3 linked regions of the Oryzias latipes genome follow. Each later gene encodes a partner of the first gene's protein in a complex. Links are inferred from orthologs where the notes say so. Each region holds a gene or a part of one and is shown on either strand. Other genes may lie near its edges.

What was found.
Region 2: bud13 (region 1) and rbmx2 share a complex: the UniProt entries of both Homo sapiens proteins name them as parts of the activated spliceosome. The link is inferred for Oryzias latipes from reciprocal best matches to the Homo sapiens genes BUD13 and RBMX2.
Region 3: bud13 (region 1) and snrpd3 share a complex: the UniProt entries of both Homo sapiens proteins name them as parts of the minor spliceosome. The link is inferred for Oryzias latipes from reciprocal best matches to the Homo sapiens genes BUD13 and SNRPD3.

What each region holds. Positions count from the first base shown.
Region 1 is NC_019872.2:13,068,746-13,074,978, reverse strand, and holds the start of bud13 (BUD13 homolog), read left to right. Parts: upstream 1-2,140; 5' UTR 2,141-2,169; coding exon 2,170-2,306; intron 2,307-2,447; coding exon 2,448-2,535; intron 2,536-2,936; coding exon 2,937-3,021; intron 3,022-3,098; coding exon 3,099-3,497; intron 3,498-3,800; coding exon 3,801-4,105; intron 4,106-4,189; coding exon 4,190-4,298; intron 4,299-4,450; coding exon 4,451-4,589; intron 4,590-4,670; coding exon 4,671-4,852; intron 4,853-4,997; coding exon 4,998-5,079; intron 5,080-6,233. Other genes in the region: uncharacterized protein LOC101171185, read left to right, coding at 240-276, 367-696, 797-894. UniProt on the Homo sapiens protein: Involved in pre-mRNA splicing as component of the activated spliceosome. As a component of the minor spliceosome, involved in the splicing of U12-type introns in pre-mRNAs.
Region 2 is NC_019872.2:23,467,188-23,473,403, reverse strand, and holds rbmx2 (RNA-binding motif protein, X-linked 2), read right to left. Parts: upstream 3,954-6,216; 5' UTR 3,851-3,953; coding exon 3,846-3,850; intron 2,312-3,845; coding exon 2,196-2,311; intron 2,114-2,195; coding exon 2,062-2,113; intron 1,994-2,061; coding exon 1,864-1,993; intron 1,789-1,863; coding exon 1,602-1,788; intron 1,533-1,601; coding exon 1,255-1,532; 3' UTR 1,045-1,254; downstream 1-1,044. Other genes in the region: ap4m1 (AP-4 complex subunit mu-1), read left to right, coding at 4,747-4,804, 5,902-5,990. UniProt on the Homo sapiens protein: Involved in pre-mRNA splicing as component of the activated spliceosome. As a component of the minor spliceosome, involved in the splicing of U12-type introns in pre-mRNAs.
Region 3 is NC_019870.2:16,127,756-16,134,159, forward strand, and holds snrpd3 (small nuclear ribonucleoprotein Sm D3), read right to left. Parts: upstream 3,954-6,404; 5' UTR 3,824-3,953; intron 3,037-3,823; 5' UTR 3,016-3,036; coding exon 2,890-3,015; intron 1,438-2,889; coding exon 1,245-1,437; intron 1,112-1,244; coding exon 1,047-1,111; 3' UTR 900-1,046; downstream 1-899. UniProt on the Homo sapiens protein: Plays a role in pre-mRNA splicing as a core component of the spliceosomal U1, U2, U4 and U5 small nuclear ribonucleoproteins (snRNPs), the building blocks of the spliceosome.

The DNA of each region.
Region 1 (6,233 bases):
TGGTCACATAAAGATTAAGTTTTAGATTCAGAGCACATTCATGGCAGTTTCACTATTTTTGTTTTGTTTTTTGCTTTATTGGAGCTATAAATTACCCCTTTCTAATCCACCTGTGCAATAAATAGCTTTGTTTCCCATTTACCCACTTCTATTGTGTGCACTCACTTGCTGTGTCACAACAACAGTTTGTTCTTTATGTTGTTTTCTTCTGTTTTCAGTTGAATGGCCCTTTCTCCATCATGATCAAGTCCCTGTTTGTTTATGGAATGGTGGGAGGTAAGAACACAAAGCTGAAGGTGTCTGAAATAAAATCACACATAAAATCAAGCTTGTTTCTGTATAAATGTTCTTTGTTCTTGTCTCTAGCGCTGCTGTTGCTGCCAGTCCAACCAGATCAGATCTCTGTATGTGTTGAAGATGATGAAGACCTGAGAGTAGACTGTATGATCAAGCCAGCTCCTAACAAAATCAACAGCTATGAGTTTTCATGGTCCTCGGGAACCAAGGAGGTTTTAATCAACACCAATGTGTCTGGGTCTAAAGCCGAGGCTCAGTTTAATGATAAAAGCCAAGTGGTGGAACTGGAGCCTCACGGCTACAGGATGACCCTGTCTGACTTCAAAGACAAGCTCCCACCCAACACCACCTACATGTGCAAAATATATGGGGAAATGAAACAAATCACAGTGGAGAAAGGTGGGTGGACTGAAGAGCTGAAGGGAATGAGTGTTAACCAAAAGCTGGCAGAATTTTTCGATAGATTTTTGGTGTGCTTCAATAATTTCCCTCTTTACAGATTCCCTGGTGCCATGCTCAGCAGTGAGCGTGTTTCTGCAGAGATCCTGGTTCTTGATTGGCTGCCTGGTCTTTTTCCTTCATCACAATGACAGCTGATGGCACTGAGAAGAGAACAGTCAGGCTTTTGCAGATACTCACTAAGCTAAGCACTTTCGCTTCTGTCACAGAATAGATCTCTCTTCCTTCTGTAAAAAACACTGGTAAATGTTTCCACTGTAGACGATTTAAATGTTTAGGAGCTGAGAGCTGTGAGTACTGAATGTAAATTAACCATTAGTAGAAATGAAAGTGCAGCTTTTTCGTCGAGGGAGACAGTCTAATGGCAGACTAAGAGATGCAGTTGCTGACTTATTAATGAGGTATTATTGATTTTATGTTTTCTTTTCTTTTACATTAAAAAGCACTAATAGTTTTTGTGGCCTTTTCCTCACTGCAAAAGCAGCAAATTGATTGTGTTCTTGTTTGCTTGTTAATAAAAGAAGAGCTCTGTGAATTTGCTTGTAATCATTTCATTTATGATTGAACAAATATAATTGTTTTGTGTGTTTGTTTGTTTTTGTTGTTTTTTTTAAATCATAAATCAAAGAACACTGTTGACAGATAAATACCAGTATTTGGAAATGTCACATTTTCTCAATGGAGCCTAAATGCATTGTCATTCATGGAAATCATACTAGACCAGCAGCTGGTTATTACTGTCTTAGATAAACAATAACCCATGACATTTAATCTGTCTCTACATATTGGACATGACATGTAACAGGGACAATATTTAGGTCTTTTTGTCTCTGTTATAAAAAGCAAGTAGTGACGGCCTATATTTTTGAAAAAGTTTTAGTGTAAAAAAAATGATCGACAAATAAAAAAATAAGAACAAGAATTGAAATCGTATGCAAAGAAGAGTAAAGACTTTTACAATTCAAAAACATTGCTCTCCTGTCTTTCTAGGCATCGGTGTATGACCGACTAAATTTGTGGGTCAATTAGGGAAATCAGGCAATTTTAGCCTTTTTGGTGACAGTCATTATTTGTATGCCAGTCACTGGGTCCCACCACAGACACAGTCTTGCAGCAGATTGTGGCCCAGTAGTTATCATTTTTAACTTCTTTGGAGTCAACTTTATCTTCAATGTATTTATTTATGCATAACAGTAACTTTTTTGTTATAATAATAATAATAATAATAATAATAATAATAATAATAATAATAATAATAATAATAACAATAATAACAATAATAATAATAATAATAATAATAATAATAATAATAATAATAATAATAATAATAATAATAATAATACAGAAACGCGTCTTCTTCCTCGTCGTCTACATTGACCCTTGACGCGACCCGTAGTTTCCCACAATACAAAGATGGCAGCGGTCGGTGGTGGAACCGGACCCGAGCTTTCTAAAGCTGAGTACTTAAAGCGGTATTTATCAGCTGACGACAACCATGGTGCATCTAAAGGAAAAGGCAAGAAGAAACGAAAAAAGCTTCCTGAAACAAGGTGAGTACCGAAATACTGCGCCGTTTGGCTTTCTGTTAGCATCCAAGCTAGTTTCCTTATGCTAAGCTATTTTTGATTTGGAACTTTGTTTCTATGAGTTTAATCGTTTTTATTTTGTGTTACTTCGTTGTTTTTATCTAGACTTAAAATAGTAGACGATGATATTGATTGGAGACAAATGGTCCAACAGCAGCCGGATGTCGAAGAGGATGAAGAGGAAGCTCCGGTGGTGAGTTAGCTAGCAGCCTTGCGTTAGCATTTCCCCCGCAGTACGGTCTACTATGTTTAACTTTTACACGCATGAAAGTCTGATGGCGATATTTGATTTGATGATAATAAAATGTATGTCTTTCTTTTTTGTTAACATTATTGAAATGTAAATCCAGACGTAACACAGGAATTTCATCTGACGTGAGATTGAATTGATCTGCTTTAATGCAGGATAATCGATGCAAGATAGATTTGACACATTGGTTTGAATGAAATATGTGGGAAACTTGCATTGTGTGTGAAGCAGTCAACACAGATGTTTGAACAGAGTAAATAATGATTTGATTTGGTCTATGTTATGTACATTAAAGTTTTAAAGCCAAGGAAACCTAAATTTTGTACTTTGATTTACCTTCTCAGATTGCAGAGTTCATCGATGAGCGGCCAGAAGAGGTGAAACAGATGGAGGCCTTTAGGACCAGTAACAGATGGAAAATAGTTGGGGGTAACTATAAAAGCAGTATATAAATTTGGCTTCTTTTAAATTATGTTGTTTTTCATATTAACTGTGTTGTTCTGTAGCGGATGAAGACGAAGACAAAACAATTGACGAAGAAAATGAGCAGGAGGAGCCTTTAACATCTAAAAAAAGTCGGCATGACTCACCAGAGCTGTCATCGAAAAGTGGGAGACATGGTTCCCCTTTCAAAAAACCAAGACACGACTCTCCAGACATTTCTCCTCCTAGGAGAGGACGCCATGACTCTCCGGATAAATCCCCTCCCAGGAGAGGACGCCATGACTCTCCGGATAAATCCCCTCCCAGGAGAGGACGCCATGACTCTCCGGATAAATCTCCTCCTAGGAGAGGACGCCATGACTCTCCGGATAAATCTCCTCCTAGCAGAGGACGCCATGACTCTCCCAGCAAGTCTCCTTCAAGGCAACATTTAAGGAAGTCTGGGAAAGTTAAAAGTAAAGGTGAGTTTTATTTTACAGTTAAGATTTTCTTTCTTGCTTTTATACAGAACAATGCTCATTTTGCACAAGTCACTGAAAAAGCTGAAAACGGCATACCAATGCCATTTAAGCATTGAATAAGCTTAAAGCTGGAACCTCTTAGATTTTTGGGTTATAGTAGTTACTAAAAATATCAATAGTTATATTGACACAATAAAATGTTTATGTAAAACACATTTATTTTTTTCTATTTCATATTAGGATTACTAGTTTTGCTCTCTGCACTCTAATATATATAGTGCAAACATTCTCTTTGATTCTCAGAGTCTTCTCCCACTAGAAGGAAGCCCAGCTCATCGTTACACGGTAAACCAAGGTCGCCAGATGATCGGCGGTCTCCTTTAGCTCATAAGACTAAGGTTAGGCTGGATTCAGACTCCGATCAATCTCCTCCACGGAAAAAGCAATCGAAGCGAGAAGCTTCCGACTCTGACCAGTCTCCCCCTCGGAGACGCTCCAGAACAAGGCAGAGATCCGATTCCGACCAGTCTCCACCAAGAAAGCACTCGAGGAGTGGAAAGGACTCGGATGGAGATCTGTCACCACCACGGAGACCTGGCCAGTCTCATGTGAGGGATCTGCGCTGTTCAGGGATTCGTGTGAAACCTAATTTGCAGCACAAACCCCATCTAATATTTTTGTGTGTTTTTCAGGACCACAGGATGCTTTCCGGAGGAAAGGCTGGTTTGGTATCTGTGGAGATTCTAAGGGAAGAGCAAAAGGAAAACCGACGCAGAGAAAAAAAGAATCAACCTCTTGAAGGTTGGCCTTGCTTTTGTTTTTCAGTTTTACTTTTAAAAAAAAAGAGAGTTTGAAACAACCCTTTTCTTATCGTATAACTTTAGACTTTCTATATTTCTGAAGTACCGGTATATGAAAGTGTTTTTATACTATTTATACTATTTACGCATCAGATGAATCTCGTAATGCGGAGACGGTCTTCCGAGACAAAAGTGGCAAAAGGAGGGATTTGACCTCAGAAAGGGAGGAGCAGAAGAGAAAAGCAGGAGAAAAGGCTGCAAAAGATGAAAAATATGCCCAGTGGGGTAAAGGGTAAATCCACAAAACCATACCAAGTCACTGAAAATGCTACTTCCACCACATGTAAGAAGACAAGTTATTGTTTGTGTTTAGGCTGGCTCAGAATCAGATGGAGCAGCAGAAGCTGGAGGACGCCCTGCTGGAAGCCCAGAAGCCCTTGGCCCGTCACCGTGACGACGAAGATCTGGACCGCATGTTGAGGGAGCAGGAGAGGGACGGGGATCCCATGGCTGCCATGCTTCGGCGGAAAAAGGAAAAAAGCTCAAAAACACAAGGTTTGAAACATTCTACAAGTTTTTGTACTTTTTTTTTTTTTTTTACTCTTCTGATGGAAAAATTTGGGCATTAGTACTTCAAGTACAGCAAATATCTCAGTTGCAGTTTTACATGATTCATTTAAAATTTTCTTACTGTTTCCAGACAAACCTCGCTACAATGGACCTACGCCACCCCCAAACCGTTTCAACATTCCTCCCGGTTACCGTTGGGATGGAGTGGACAGGTACAGTTGAAGAAAAACCTCATGGGATGCTGCTTGTCAACTTTTCAGCTCTTCTGCAATGTTTTAGTTTTGCAGTTGTGATGATCACAGTTTTAGGTATTTTCACTATGTAGCAGTGGTCCCCAGTTCCCGAGACGCGGACTGTATCCATTCATGGGGTCACTTAGTACCAGGCTGCAGACAAAAAAATTACATATAGTAACTTAGATTATTTCCTTTTTTTATTTTTTATTCTGAAAGTAGTTTTATTTTGGAAAACTACTTGATTCAATTTGCCACATGTGTCTATACTCTTGTTCACTCGCGCATCGAAAATACATCCACTACCTTCTTAAAGCGGCTTCTCCGACCTCTTAATAAAAAGGTAACTAAGTTAATAAGAAAAAACATCTTTGGAAAGTTTTTTTGTGGGAGAGAAAGAAGCCATTGAGAAAATGAAGGAAGAGTTTTTGACTTCAAAGTAAAATCAATTATTTACAGATAAAACCAGGAGTCTTCCTCCAAATATGGATTCATTGCGATAGTTGTTCCCACCTACAAAGCCCACTTTGCATAATATGCGTTGACTGACTCTAAAGTTACACATACGCTGTTAAAAAAGTTGCAAACACAATGGATTCACATTTTGCATTTTGCGTGTAGAAAATGCCAGTTTCATGACAGTTGTGTCATTTCATTTAGTGTTTTTTGTTTGGCACACCTTGAAGATGCGGCTGACGTTGGCACTCAGATGTTAGCCTCCATTTTGGAGTTTAAGTGAAAATTTACATCACATTTTAATGGATCCTGAACAAAGTCTAAGTTTAAACCAGCTGCAAATATTTTACAGAGAATAAGGATTCAATACAATAACATTTGAGAATGTTTCTACAGCAGGTTTTACAAATTAGGTAGCCACCTGGTAAGAACAGAAAATACTCTTCTGTGTTTATGATTAATTTTTTTTGCCCTGAAAGATAATCTGAGCCTGAATTATTATTTTTTCTGCGTTATAACGAAATTAAAATCTGTAATGTTGCCTTTAATGAATTTTTACAAATCAGAAACAACTTCAACAAATCAACAACTTTGTCATTGAACTTTCTTAATTTGTAAAACATTTATTTACTGGCAGTTTCAAAGTCTTTAAAAAAAAATCATGATTTAGCATTTGA
Region 2 (6,216 bases), about 10 Mb from region 1:
AACAAGTGAACAAAACAATGAAGCTCCGAAATCCGATCTCCGGCCGTTTTATGCACTACATCTCCCATGATGCATTGGGTTGTGAGAGTGACAGCGCACAAGGAGATCTGTTGTTAAACGTCTTGAAACCAACGAACACACATCAAACTGTTTTTAAATCTTCTAACTTAACTTTTATTGCATCTTTTAGGAAAAAAAACAGCTGCAGTTTCCAGCTTTTTCTGTAACAATTATCTCAAAAATGCATGTGAGACTGTGGAGGGAGGGGCTGTAGATCAATAAAGACTGAGTTTCTCCTTTTTTTTTAATTTTTGAATGCTGGTGTGCCGCGGAATTTTTTTTTTTAAGGTTAAAGTGTGCCGTGGCTCAAAAAAGGTTGAAAAACACTGATCTAGACCCACTAGACGGTGCTCTGAACCTTTTTTCTTCAATGATTTGTGATCTTCACTGGTGTCCATGGATTACATGAAATCTTTCCACCTTTATCCACCTTTGTCATGGTAGGGAGAACACGTCAATGTAAGGGTGGGGTCATCTAAGATAGCACAAGGGGTATGAGCGAGTGAGTGTGATGTCACCCACAGAAAACTGCTTACATCCGGCTCCAACCAAATGAAGCCGGTTCAGTTTTTCACGGTCTGGACCCAACTATGTTGGAGTCAGACGTCAGTAAGAGTTGGTCTGATTCAACATTTCTATGGCGAACACCCTAGCCAATCAGTAGTGAGCTTGTTGGCAGGCCGCACTCCTACTCTCACAGATGCATCTATTTGGTCAGTTTATAACTTGCAATAGAGAAAACTATTTAGTAAAAAAAAAATGATAAGCCAAAATGTGTTCAAAGCATCAAATAGTCATTCTGACCAATGGTAAAATGCCAGGGGGAGGGGTCACTCAGTCCAGTTCTTGTAAACAGTCAATGTCTGAAGTTTTCTGGATCCCTTCAGGCTTGATACACATAAATAATTCTGTTCTCCAAATGTCTTTATTTAAATGCTCCTTAAGCTTTAGTGAATTCTGAAACGTTTTCAAAAGAGAATCAAATTTGCTGTTTGAATTTTTTTTAATAAATCAATTATTTAAATCATCGCCCAGAAGACAAACTTGTTTTTTAACACTTAAGACAAACTTTACAAATATCTGTACAAAAAAAGGCTTCTCATGGAAGCTTTGTTTACAGGAGGATGTCAGCCAGCAGGGGGAGCTCTTCTGCTGAGGAGAGAATGTATCATTCTCCTCTCTTTACTCCTCCATCTATCTTCTGGAGCTCTCCTTGTCCGCCTCTCTCCTCTTCTCTCCTCTCCTTCTGTCCTCCCTCTCTCGTTCAGTCTCTCTCTTACTCTCCACATCTCTGTCTCTCCTCTTCTCCTCCCTCCTCCTCTCCGTCTCATTGTGTCCGTTCTGTGACCCCCCCGTGGCGTACTTGTCGTACGCCGTGTCTCGTTTTTCTTCTTTGACTCGGATGGGAGGTGAGGAGGAGGAAGCTCGGCTCTTCTTCTTCTCCTTCTTCTTTTTCTTCTTCTCTTTTTTGTCTGCAGCAGAAGAGTACAGGTGAAACTGACCCTCCCCCTCATAAATGACAGAACAGGAAGTGACCTCACCTTTTTTGGGTTTTTTCACAGGTATGACGAGCTGCTCGTCATCCTCAGAGGAGGACGGGGGGGCGGCAGGGCCCGTGGGGGCGCAGCCATCCTCCCTCAAGCGTTTGGTGACATCATCGATGTCCTCGCCGTCTTTGGGGGGGCGGTAGTTTTTTACGTGGTCTACGCGAATGGTGCGTCCTTTGATCTGGAGGGGAGAAAGAGCTTCATCATTAAGGATGCTCACAGTGGCGCCGCCCCGGGTGGGGGGTGGGGGCCTCACCTTGATGCCATTGAAGTTGTCCACAGCCAGGATGGTGCTGCGCTGGTCCTCGTAGCAGATGAAGCAGAAGCCTTTGGACTTTCCCGTCTTCTTGTCGCGCACCAGGTTGACGTTGACGATCTCACCGTACCTGAACGGACACATCAGTAAGCGGTGTGTGCCCCCACCCCACCCCAAAGCGAGGCTGTGGGTACGTACTGAGAGAAGACGCAGAGCAGGTCCCCCTCTGTGAGCTCGTAGGGGAAGCCTCCTGCAGGATCAGAACAGACGTCAACCACCTGCTTTCACGCTTCATTTACTGCAGGTTCCTGTGAGAAGCTCCGCCCCCTCACCCACAAAGATCCAGGCGCTGTCCCGGTACTCGCTGTGCCACGACACCTTCTCGTTGACCCCGAGGTCGGCCTCGCGCTCGTTCAGCTCGTTTATCAGCTTCACCTTCGTCAGAGGACTGAAACAAATCAACCGGCAGGAAACTTTCAGTGTTTTAGAAGACAGCAGTCAAGATTCTGTTCATTTAAACAAAGTGAAATAAACCTGAAGGTCAGCTTTCTAATATTCATGTTTCATCAATTTATTTTTTTATGCACCATCTCAACATAATGAACATTATGAAGATTTCAACCATATCTTCTTTGTCTCTTAGTTGCTACATTAATCATCCAGCTCTCTCCTCTATCGTCCCCACCAACAACCCTCATGCCCTCCTCTTCATCCATGAACTTCCTCTGTGGTCTTCCGCTAGGCCTCTTTCCTGGTTTCTGTAACCTCAGCATCATCACTGCTGCTCCTCCAAACCATCTCCATCTGCATTCATGTCCCAAATATCAACCATGATCTGCTCCTCTGATGGACTCATTCCTGATGCATCCTGGTCTCTCCCAAAGAGAACCTCAACATCTTCATCTCTGCTACCTTCAGCTCTGCCTATTGAATCGATATTGGAAACCACCGTTTGGATTGAGACCTGGTGAGGTCATTTTACTATAACATAAAGGCTGTGCCCCAAGTTCCCACCCTAACATAAAAAAAGAAAATTGCAAAAACTGTTCGACGCAATGCATTGTGGTTTATATTCACTCGATGCACACTGCTTTTTCGCAGAGACTTCTGGGAAATTTCTAGGGCACTCGACTTTGAAATTGTAGGTTCGGACAGCACTACAACATGGTGAATGTTGTGCACTATATAGGGCAATATATAGTGCACTACATAGTGCCCCCTAGGTAGTGAGTATTGAAGGAATTCAGACACAATCAAAATTAACAGAGTGCATTACAGCAGACAAAAAACATGTAATTTCATCAAAAACTGATCAACCATCATTCCAGTCCAAAACTGAATTTAGAAAGTCATGTGACCACACAGTGTGCTAGAATGTTCCCTTTGGATTCTTTGGATGTGGAAAAACAACAGTGGGCTGAACTTCAGGAAACTAAAATGTGGATGGATTTGATTTTAATTCTTTGTTTGTACATATTTAATTTAAACTTGATTATCTTGGAAGAAATCTAAGGAATCTGGAAAACTTCACATTTCAGTAGCAGGTATTTCTCGCTGAGTCACACTGGATGATGTTTTGGATAAAGATGTCCTGGATCCATTAGGTCACTGAATCGGATAAAACGAACAATTATCGAATGATTGAATCACATCAACAACCACTGATTGGTATGCAATCGTTACACCTCTAAAATGCAAATACAATCAAACGCAAGTACGAATTCAGTAGGTGGCTATTCAGTACCTGGTCTATTAAGTTTAAAAAAATCAAATTTGATTTTTTAGAAGTTTTTAGAAGTTTTTGAAGTTCTACAGTGGAGAATTTGAATGGAAATGGGGAAAAGGCGACACACACGAAACATAAAGCCTGCTGCTATCGGCTGGAATCCGCTCAACAGGAAACCAACGACCAGAAAAGGGATTCTCTACCAAATGAAAAATAAAAACTAATGTAATGGCTGTAGAGGGAAACGTTTACTTACTTCATGGTGAGCTCGAACAGCAGCGATGTTATGGTGCCAAAGACCAAGCGTGGAGAAGTGGTGCACTTCCTGTGGAGGTTCTGCGTGTGCTGCCGCCTGGTGGTTGGATGACCGAACTACAGATGAAATGAACGAGAAAACTGCGCGAACGCGAAGCGTCTAACACTGCCCGAATGCTGCTTTTAATAAACAAGAAATGTATTTATTTTATTTTTGTAAGAAATTGTGAAATGCTGAATGTTCTGTCTGTAAAAAGCAAGCGTCCAATCTTTCCGCCTGCACGACAGGTGGCGCTAACAAGCTAACAGTTCATTTTTAACAGGATGCAACACTTAAACCAGACAGTGGACGTTTTAAAGCGTGTTGTGTTTTTCAAGCTTTTAATGTTTAAATAACACCCTTTCTTAGAGTCGACATCATTGCAGGAGATTTTACGTGGAACTGGAAAATGATTTGTAATTCCACGTTAGCATGGCTTTAAAACACTTAAAGTTCAGTTTAAACGTCTGAACTGTGTCATCTTTTCAGGTAAATTCAGTTTTCCTTCGACTTGTCTTTACCCTATTCCGCTTTACTCAGTGTCACCTTTAACACGTTTGAGATTAATGTGTGACGCACACCTACAGTAGCACACACCAGACAATCTGATTGTTTATTGTTAGTTTATTTTTTTCCTCATAATAACTAGTTTCATGCAGTGAATATGAGATGCTGCTTGTTTGTCATTTCCCCCATAAACAGGGGTTTTCTCCTTTATTTCGGCTTGACTGCAGTTCTGCAGACAGACTTGGACGTGTTCCTGCAGATGTTGTTTCTGCAGATGTTGCAGTGGCACTGAAACTCCCCCTAGCTGTCCCACCGGGGTGAACTGTTGCCCCGACAGTCCTCTATCCTCTGCAGGATGATCCGGCAGCTCTTCATCTTGTCCTCGAAGGGCGACCCCCTCCTCTTCAGAGACTGTATCCTTCTCAGCTCTCACCTGCTTCTGTTTAAATCATCCTGCTTTGAAGTTCAGTTCTGCTATACAGTGAAAGATCTCCCCTTTGGGACAGACTTACTCTAGCAGGGGTACTTGTACTTGCCCATCTGGGGTACATTTTTTGCATCAGTCAGACACAGGTGTTTTAAAGTTGTTATTTTCAATGGTGATGGGCTTCTCTGAAGGCCTAAAAATTATCTGAATCATGTGTTAATTAGAGTTCGTCCATGCATTCTCATTAAATCATTCCAAATGGTCTGTCCATTCCTCTTTTAGTGTGTTTATGATGGTGATGCTGCTTCCAGACGTATTTTCACATTGGAACATTTAACCAATCACATTCCAGCTCTCCTTTGTTGCCAGGCAGGGTCAGAGCTACAGAGGCCTTCACTATCTGTTCTGCAGGCCCTCTAATGCAAAATCAATGTCGGAGATTAATTTCCCTCATCCAATCAGATTTTGAGTTGGTGTCAGCAGGGCCTTCTAGCAGGCTTAGACAGCGTCACAGTATTCAGACCCTCTGATTGGACAGAAGTTTCAGGAAGTCACATGCTTCCTTGTCCAGTTTGACACAGAGACATGGAGAATGATCTGTTCCCTCTCAGTTTATAGCAGACTGACTGTAATGTACTCCATGGAGGATTTAGCAGGAAAATCTCCCACTGATCTCCATCAGAAAAATCTGAGTGAATCGTGACCCTCCCCGTGTCCACTGTGTCTGTCAAGCTGACAGTTTGAGCTGGTTCATGAGGGGTTGAGTGATTCAGACGTAGCACTGCTGAAGGCCCAGGTGTGTTATGCACGGTCCACCAAAGGTTTTCAATAATAACGGTGGTTTTTATCATAACCAGATAATTGGGTTGGGGGTGGGGGGGTCTTTGCTGGGAACATCCTTCAAACTGGACGTTTCTCCCATCCTGAGCGACCCACAGCTTCTCTGTTCTCGCTGCTTTGGGCAAACAAAGCCAGTAATGGGATCCACGGCTGAAAAGAGGCGGAGCATCCCTGCTCTGGAGGACATGCGCCTCAGTGCATCCGTCAGGCATGAGTCTGAGTCTACCTTGACCCTGGCTCCAGTCCGCGGAGAGACGGGGGACGATGATGTGGTCAACGTTTTCTACCAGAAGGTCACGGCGCTACCTGGAGACCAGCCTCCGGTTGTCATGGTAACCTGTCCTCCAGCGGAACTTTTCTATTTGTTGCAGCTCTTATGGAGCACGTTTAGATGCCCTTAAGGGCCGTGTGTACGCTAACAAACTCTGAAACTCCGTGAACATGGCAGCGCTAACAATTGTAGTGTGAATGTGTCTTTAAAATAAACGACACAATGCTGCTGTTTGAACTCAGGGAGGAAGAGACTCTTGTTGCCTTGGATACACAACACTACCCTGA
Region 3 (6,404 bases), on another chromosome or scaffold:
CCCGTAAGCCGGAATATTGAAACGCCTTTTTTCCTCAGCTAAGGTTTAGCTTCTGCGAGCTAGCTAGCTGTTGAGGAGGCGTAGCAGATGTTATGATGGATGAAGCGAGCTGAAGCGCTCAGGTCCTGAGCTCCAGGGAAGGCGACAGTGTTTTCAGATTTAGCCGAATATCCACTGAAAATCCACTAAGGCTTTCGAAATCGCCTTTTCACCCTTTCGTTTATCTCGCCACTTCCATAAAATTCACTTCATGGTTTTTCTACTAATACTTTGGTAGCCGGAACACTCCCCCTTGTGTTGTCAAGTAAAACAGACATTTCCTATTTTATCTGCATTTTATCTAAAAAATTTTTGCTGGCGTTAATAGAATTCCAGGAAATGGAGAATTAAAAAAAACGTATGGATACTGATTGAATTAAAAATATTTTGGGGCTATATTTGTGATATTATGAAGGGGGGTTGGGGGTCAAGTTTATGAAGCTTTTTATTTTAGTTATTGTTTAGGGATACATTTTTAAAGGCAAAGATTTTTTTAGGGTTCTGAACCTTACACAGGGAAAAAACTGCTATAAAGAGCATCTTTCTAATCTTTTTAAAATCGTTTTAATGCAAAAGTTAAAAAAAGTTATTTGACATTTGCAAAGCCAAATATTTTTACCTCCGTTATTCATATATTTGAGCTTTTGCAGTTATTTCTAAAATGCAAACAGCAAGCTAGTTTTTTTTTTTCAAACTACCAAATTTACTTTACTTTTAAAAGTTTAAAAACTAATTCTGCTCAAGAAATCTAACTTGCACCTTGAACGGAAAAATGTACTGCTTTTAAATAAAAAAGAAATTAGATAGTCAGCATGTCAAACAAGTACAGGAATAATAAAAACAAGACAAAAGGGATATTAATTTAAGACATTTTGAAACATCTTTTATTTTTGTTTAAAAAAAAAAGAAAAATTCAAGAACTAACTTGCAAAGACAAGATTGCAAATAACAGACAAGTCATTCAAGTAAACGACATGAGAAAAAATAAAAACATTGAAAAGGAAAAGCTATCGTCTCTTCTGGAAAATGTTGCCTCTTCCCATTCCACCACGACCTCTGCCTCTTGCAGCCACTGCAAAGGGAGACAACAAATTCAGAAATAATTCAGTAAAAAAAAAAAAAAAACAGCATTCAGGAAGCAGGGTGTACCAAGAATAAGGAAAAGTGGACACACCATTTATCAGCATTGGTTAGGAACCACTCACCTTGTGCTTTCAGAATGGCCGCTTTGCCTCTTCCTGCTCCAGAACCCTGGTTCTTGTTCTTCATACTCTTTAACATTGGAGCGTTCTTTAACATGTCTGGTAAGATCAGAAAGCGGATCTTGCTGCCACGAATGTACACTTGTTCCAGCTGGGCAACCCGCCCGTCACGATAGGTTACTGTGATGTTGGACATCTGTTGGGACATAGAAATAAATGGTTCCGGTCTTAGATTCGTAAAATGGCTTGATACACGTTTACAGTGTTCAATGGAATGCAGGTTAACATTTTAAGTTATCTGTTAAACTTGGCAATGCAGTTCTCTATTTGAAAACACATTTGTAGATACTTCATTTAATCCCTTAAAATAATTTCTAACAACCTTTTTGATTTGTCATTTGATTAATAAGAAATCTACAATTATTAACAGAATATACGTTTTAGAATATTTAGCGTTTTGTTAAAGCCTTCACACTTATCTTTAGAGTACTTTTAAGACACACTGAGCTTTATCCACCAAAATTTCTGCTTTTAAATGAAATAAACAGATTTGGAGTCTATTAAACTTTTACTGCACTAATGAAGCTTGAAAAGACTATCAGCATTGACAGGATGTTTGGGAAATATATTTAGTTACAGTACTCAATACTTTAAGAAAAATGGCTTTAAATATTTCAAGGACAAATGTGCATATATGACCAGATAACTATACAGATTTTTTTAGGGGGGGGGGGTGAATTGGGTCAGTTAATAGAAAGAACACAACTTAAATTTACAAAATAAAATAAAATTGTTATTCCAGATTTGTTTGTTACAGATGTGCAACCAAAACTAGAGACCCAAAAAAAACAACAAAAAAACAAAGGTCATAAAGGCAACCTGTCCCAAAACTTTAAAATAATCCAACATAATTTCCTTTTTCCACACAGGGCCGTTTGGTTTCTTAGTGCTGTGTTTCTATTTACTTCCAACGGTAATGATAAATCATTTATGGTTTTTGTTTTTCCCTACAGGTCACTGACCTGATGCATATTAGTAAAAGGGAGTATGTTTTGTTGACTGTAAAAGCACCATTGATCTCATTGAGTAATTAAGTCACTACATCAATCAATCATACGTTACACACGTGTGGTTGGCTGAGATTTTGAGGGACAAAGAAACCGGGAGAGATTTTTCTTCGAAGAGGAGTAACCGATTTGTCTTTCGCTACAAACATGTTGAACAACTGTTTTTTAAAAAAAAAAAAGAAAGAAAGAAAGTATAACATGAGTTTGTCTCACCGCAATTGTTTTACTAAAATACTACATTCTCAACAAACCTACTCAAATAGTTCTACATCACCTGCTTGTTATAATTGGTAGATTCTAGACTTATTCCTGTGAAAGCAAAAAAAACAAATGTGCAAGTCTAAATAAGAGTTGGTGCAATAAACTGCATTAAAATACCTTTGGCATTTTTGTTTCCAAAAAGTATGTGAAATAAAAGGGGGGGGGGGCAGCCAACAATAAAATGTCCATTAAAAAAACATTCTTGTGTTCTTTACACATTTAAAATGTTCTTCTCAAGTGTGGTACAGTGAGTTGAACTCTAAATAGAAATTTACGGCATGCTTTTTTTTTTTGGGGGGGGGACGTTACTCCATACAAACCTGGCAGTTCATGTTGTCTTCAGCCTCGATCAGTTTGCCCCTGTAAACCTCTCCAGTGTTGGTTTCACAGGTCACAATGTGTCCCTCTGCTTCATGCAGGACCTTGATTGGTACGCCAATGGACATTTTGGAAACGGTCTTTCTAGGCTATTAAATTAAAAAAAAAGACAAAACATACGGTAAAGGGCACTGAAACATACAGTATTATCACAAAACCTGACGTACGGTATTGTCTTTGTTTACAGAAGGCTACTGAAAGTCTACAACATGCAATTCATTCATCCAATTTTATGATTATTATGTTTGCATGTGTCTGGCTTGGAAGTAATATTTACTGTTAGAACATACTTAAGACTTGTTTTGTGCTGTAAATAAGGTAATTTACACCCACAAAAAAAAACGTACAAAAAAGGCACTTAAGTATAACAATGTTTCCATTATCATTAGCTAAGCTACCTCGTTAGTGATTTATTTCTTGTACTGTTTATCAAGACGGTATTATTTCTACGTAGAGAAATCAAGTGCTGCAGAAAACTCTTCAGTTTTGGATTACACAGTTTAATCAGGTAAATGTTCGGGATTACTTTTAAAACGTAGTAACGCTAATGGCTAGCTTAGCTAGCCACGTTAGCTAACTAGCCACCAACTACTGGCCTCAAGCGAAACAAAACATTAATTAAAAACTGTGGGAAGTAAACCACCACAATATATTTAACGTTAATGCTTCACACCCAACATTGTTGGGACTCAAACGTGCAAATTATTTTAGACACAAGCTAAATATCAGGCATGGATGGAGCGATGGACATATTCGAAACTTAGCAAATGGGAGGCAATGTAGACAAAAAGCGATAATTCTGAATCACATTCACAGCTAAATACCAACCACAATATAATACTTGCTAGCTTTAGTAGCTAGGGTTTAAAGTCTTACTTCAACTCCCTTTGAATTCTTGAATTGTTGTTCTTTTTAGCGGCTCAGCAACGTGGGCTAGTCGTTGAGCTTGGCGTTTGAGCCTTTTTTCCGCTTACCCACAATGCACCAACAAAGCGTTTGTTTCCTGTGGCGCTTTTCGCCGTGCATTATGGGACATGTAGTTGATTCTGATTACCTAAACCAGGTGTGTTAGGTCAAACAGAATGTAGACTCACTTGAGTCAGCCAGTTACCAGAAAGATGGTTAAGGAGAAACAACAACAACAATAATAATAATAAGTGTTATTATTTTTTGTACTATTATTATTCTTTTTTAGTAGTATTGGAAGTAGTAGTAATAGTAAATAAAAACTAATTTTCATCAAAAGGCCTCAGAGAGGTCCAGGAATACCAATCATTATAGGACATTGGACTTTCAAACAAAAATAGAAATCATGAAACGTTAACAGATTAAAAATGTACACAATAAAAAATGACTTGTTTATTTGTCCTGAATTAGATTAACATGAATTTAATTTGATGATTACTCATTGGAAAAAATCAACTATAATGGAACACTGGATAGATATTTGTAAAAATATTTTATTGATTCCTTGCAGTGGTGCATGTTTTTTTTCCATAATCCTCCTCACTATGTTTTTTCTCTTTTCCTTATTTGTTTTATGTGAAAGATTTGAATCCCGAACACGTGTATAGCTGGCACATATGCTTGTCAAAACATCCCAGCAAGAAGAGATTATGAAAATGAAACGACTCAATCAATTCAAATGGATTTTTTTCATCGACCACAGAGAGCTATAAACATTTACTCTACATAGTTTTTGAATGAACAGACTTTACGTATCATATACATACCCTTGCGTGTTTATTTATGTGGACTAGTCTTTTTTACCACTTCAGTGAGACGCATAAACATTGCTTAATGCGGGGCTTTCTCACGCTGGAAGAGGTTTCTAATGAGGAAAGACAAAGCATAATGGGATAATAAAAGACATCACCAAATGAACCATCATTTGATTTCCATTGCAACAGGGTCATTGACTGGCGTCAGCAGACAGGCTACTCTGTAAACACCTGTACCTGTGCAGCGTGTGGTCATGTGTATCTACTTTACGTGTCCATGAGGGTTTCAGGCGTTTAATGCATGCTAACCTGACTCTGAACGTAGTTCCAGTCCAGCCATGAGCAGTGACATTTGCAGAGATCAAACAAGCACTTGTTTTGGGTGGATGCTAACAGGCCTGTTTACACTGATGCCTTTGAATCATGTCACTTAGATGTTGATCTGGGTTGTCAGCTTTTGTTGCCAGGCAATTATCCAATTGCTGATCAAGCAAGCAAAAGGATTTACTTAGAGGTAAACACTTTGTAGGGGAAAGTGCACACCTATAGATTGTACTCAGACTACATTCGTTTCCTCAGCTGTTGCAGACAGCCGTTACAACAAATAGCACGGATCAAAAGAAAGCTGTATGTCATGTGGAGTGTGTAAAACTTCTCATTTTGCTTTTTGACATTTTACTTCATGAATCGCCATAGTAAATCTTGTCAAATCTTCTTTTAACCCTTGTGTTATCTTAGATGACCCCACCCTTACTTTGACATGTTCTCCCTACCATGACAAAGGTGGATAAAGGTGGAAAGATTTCATGTAATCCATGGACACCAGTGAAGATCACAAATCATTGAAGAAAAAAGGTTCAGTGCACTGTCTAGTGGGTCTAGATGACCCAACTCCCAATGTTAAATTGCCTAGGATAGCACAAGGGTTAAATGGTGGCACAGATAAAAACTTGTTTTTTTTCCCGGTTGTTTGTTCACATTTAGCAAGACAATTACACAGCTATCAAGGATTTAGGGATCTTCAGAGATGTTATGTTGGAGATTTTGATCCAGACTTTAGATGGGTCCCTTCAAGACAAAACTCTTCTTCACACTCTTGGTATGATGTTGCTGTCTGTTTACAAGATAAACTTCAACCATGACCACATTGAAAATGGTAAACAGTATATGTACATACTAATATAGTGCTTTACTACCTTCCTTAAAGGCATTTTACAGTCACAGTCCCATTCGCACGTACAGTAACACTCACTGGCACCAATCCACAACCACCAGGAGAGATGTGGGGTTCAGTGTCTTGCCCAAGGTGGGAACTGAACCTGTGATCTTACAATCAAGTATCAAGTTATTTAATTGAGAAACAAAGTTTGAAATATTCCTATAACAGACTAAATGATAAAATAAACGAATAATTTGCAAAATATTGTGAAAGTAAAAAATATAAACCCACTGTGTACTTTTTTCAGATTTGGAACATGTTAGTTTGTAATGTGTCCCGCAAACACCTTGAACCTGAAGTATGTGCAGTCAGCAGAAGCACAGTAGGGAAAATGGTAAAAAAAATAAAATACATCTTTGAGAAATTAGAAGCAAACGAGAAAAAAATTTTACAAGCGAAATGACGTGATTTAGTCATTTGCAGTAAATGTGGTACGAAACATGTAGCTGATTTAGAAATCAGTTATTCAGTCATTCATAATAGAGAAATGGAGACTACAAGGATTTTACAGAAGAAA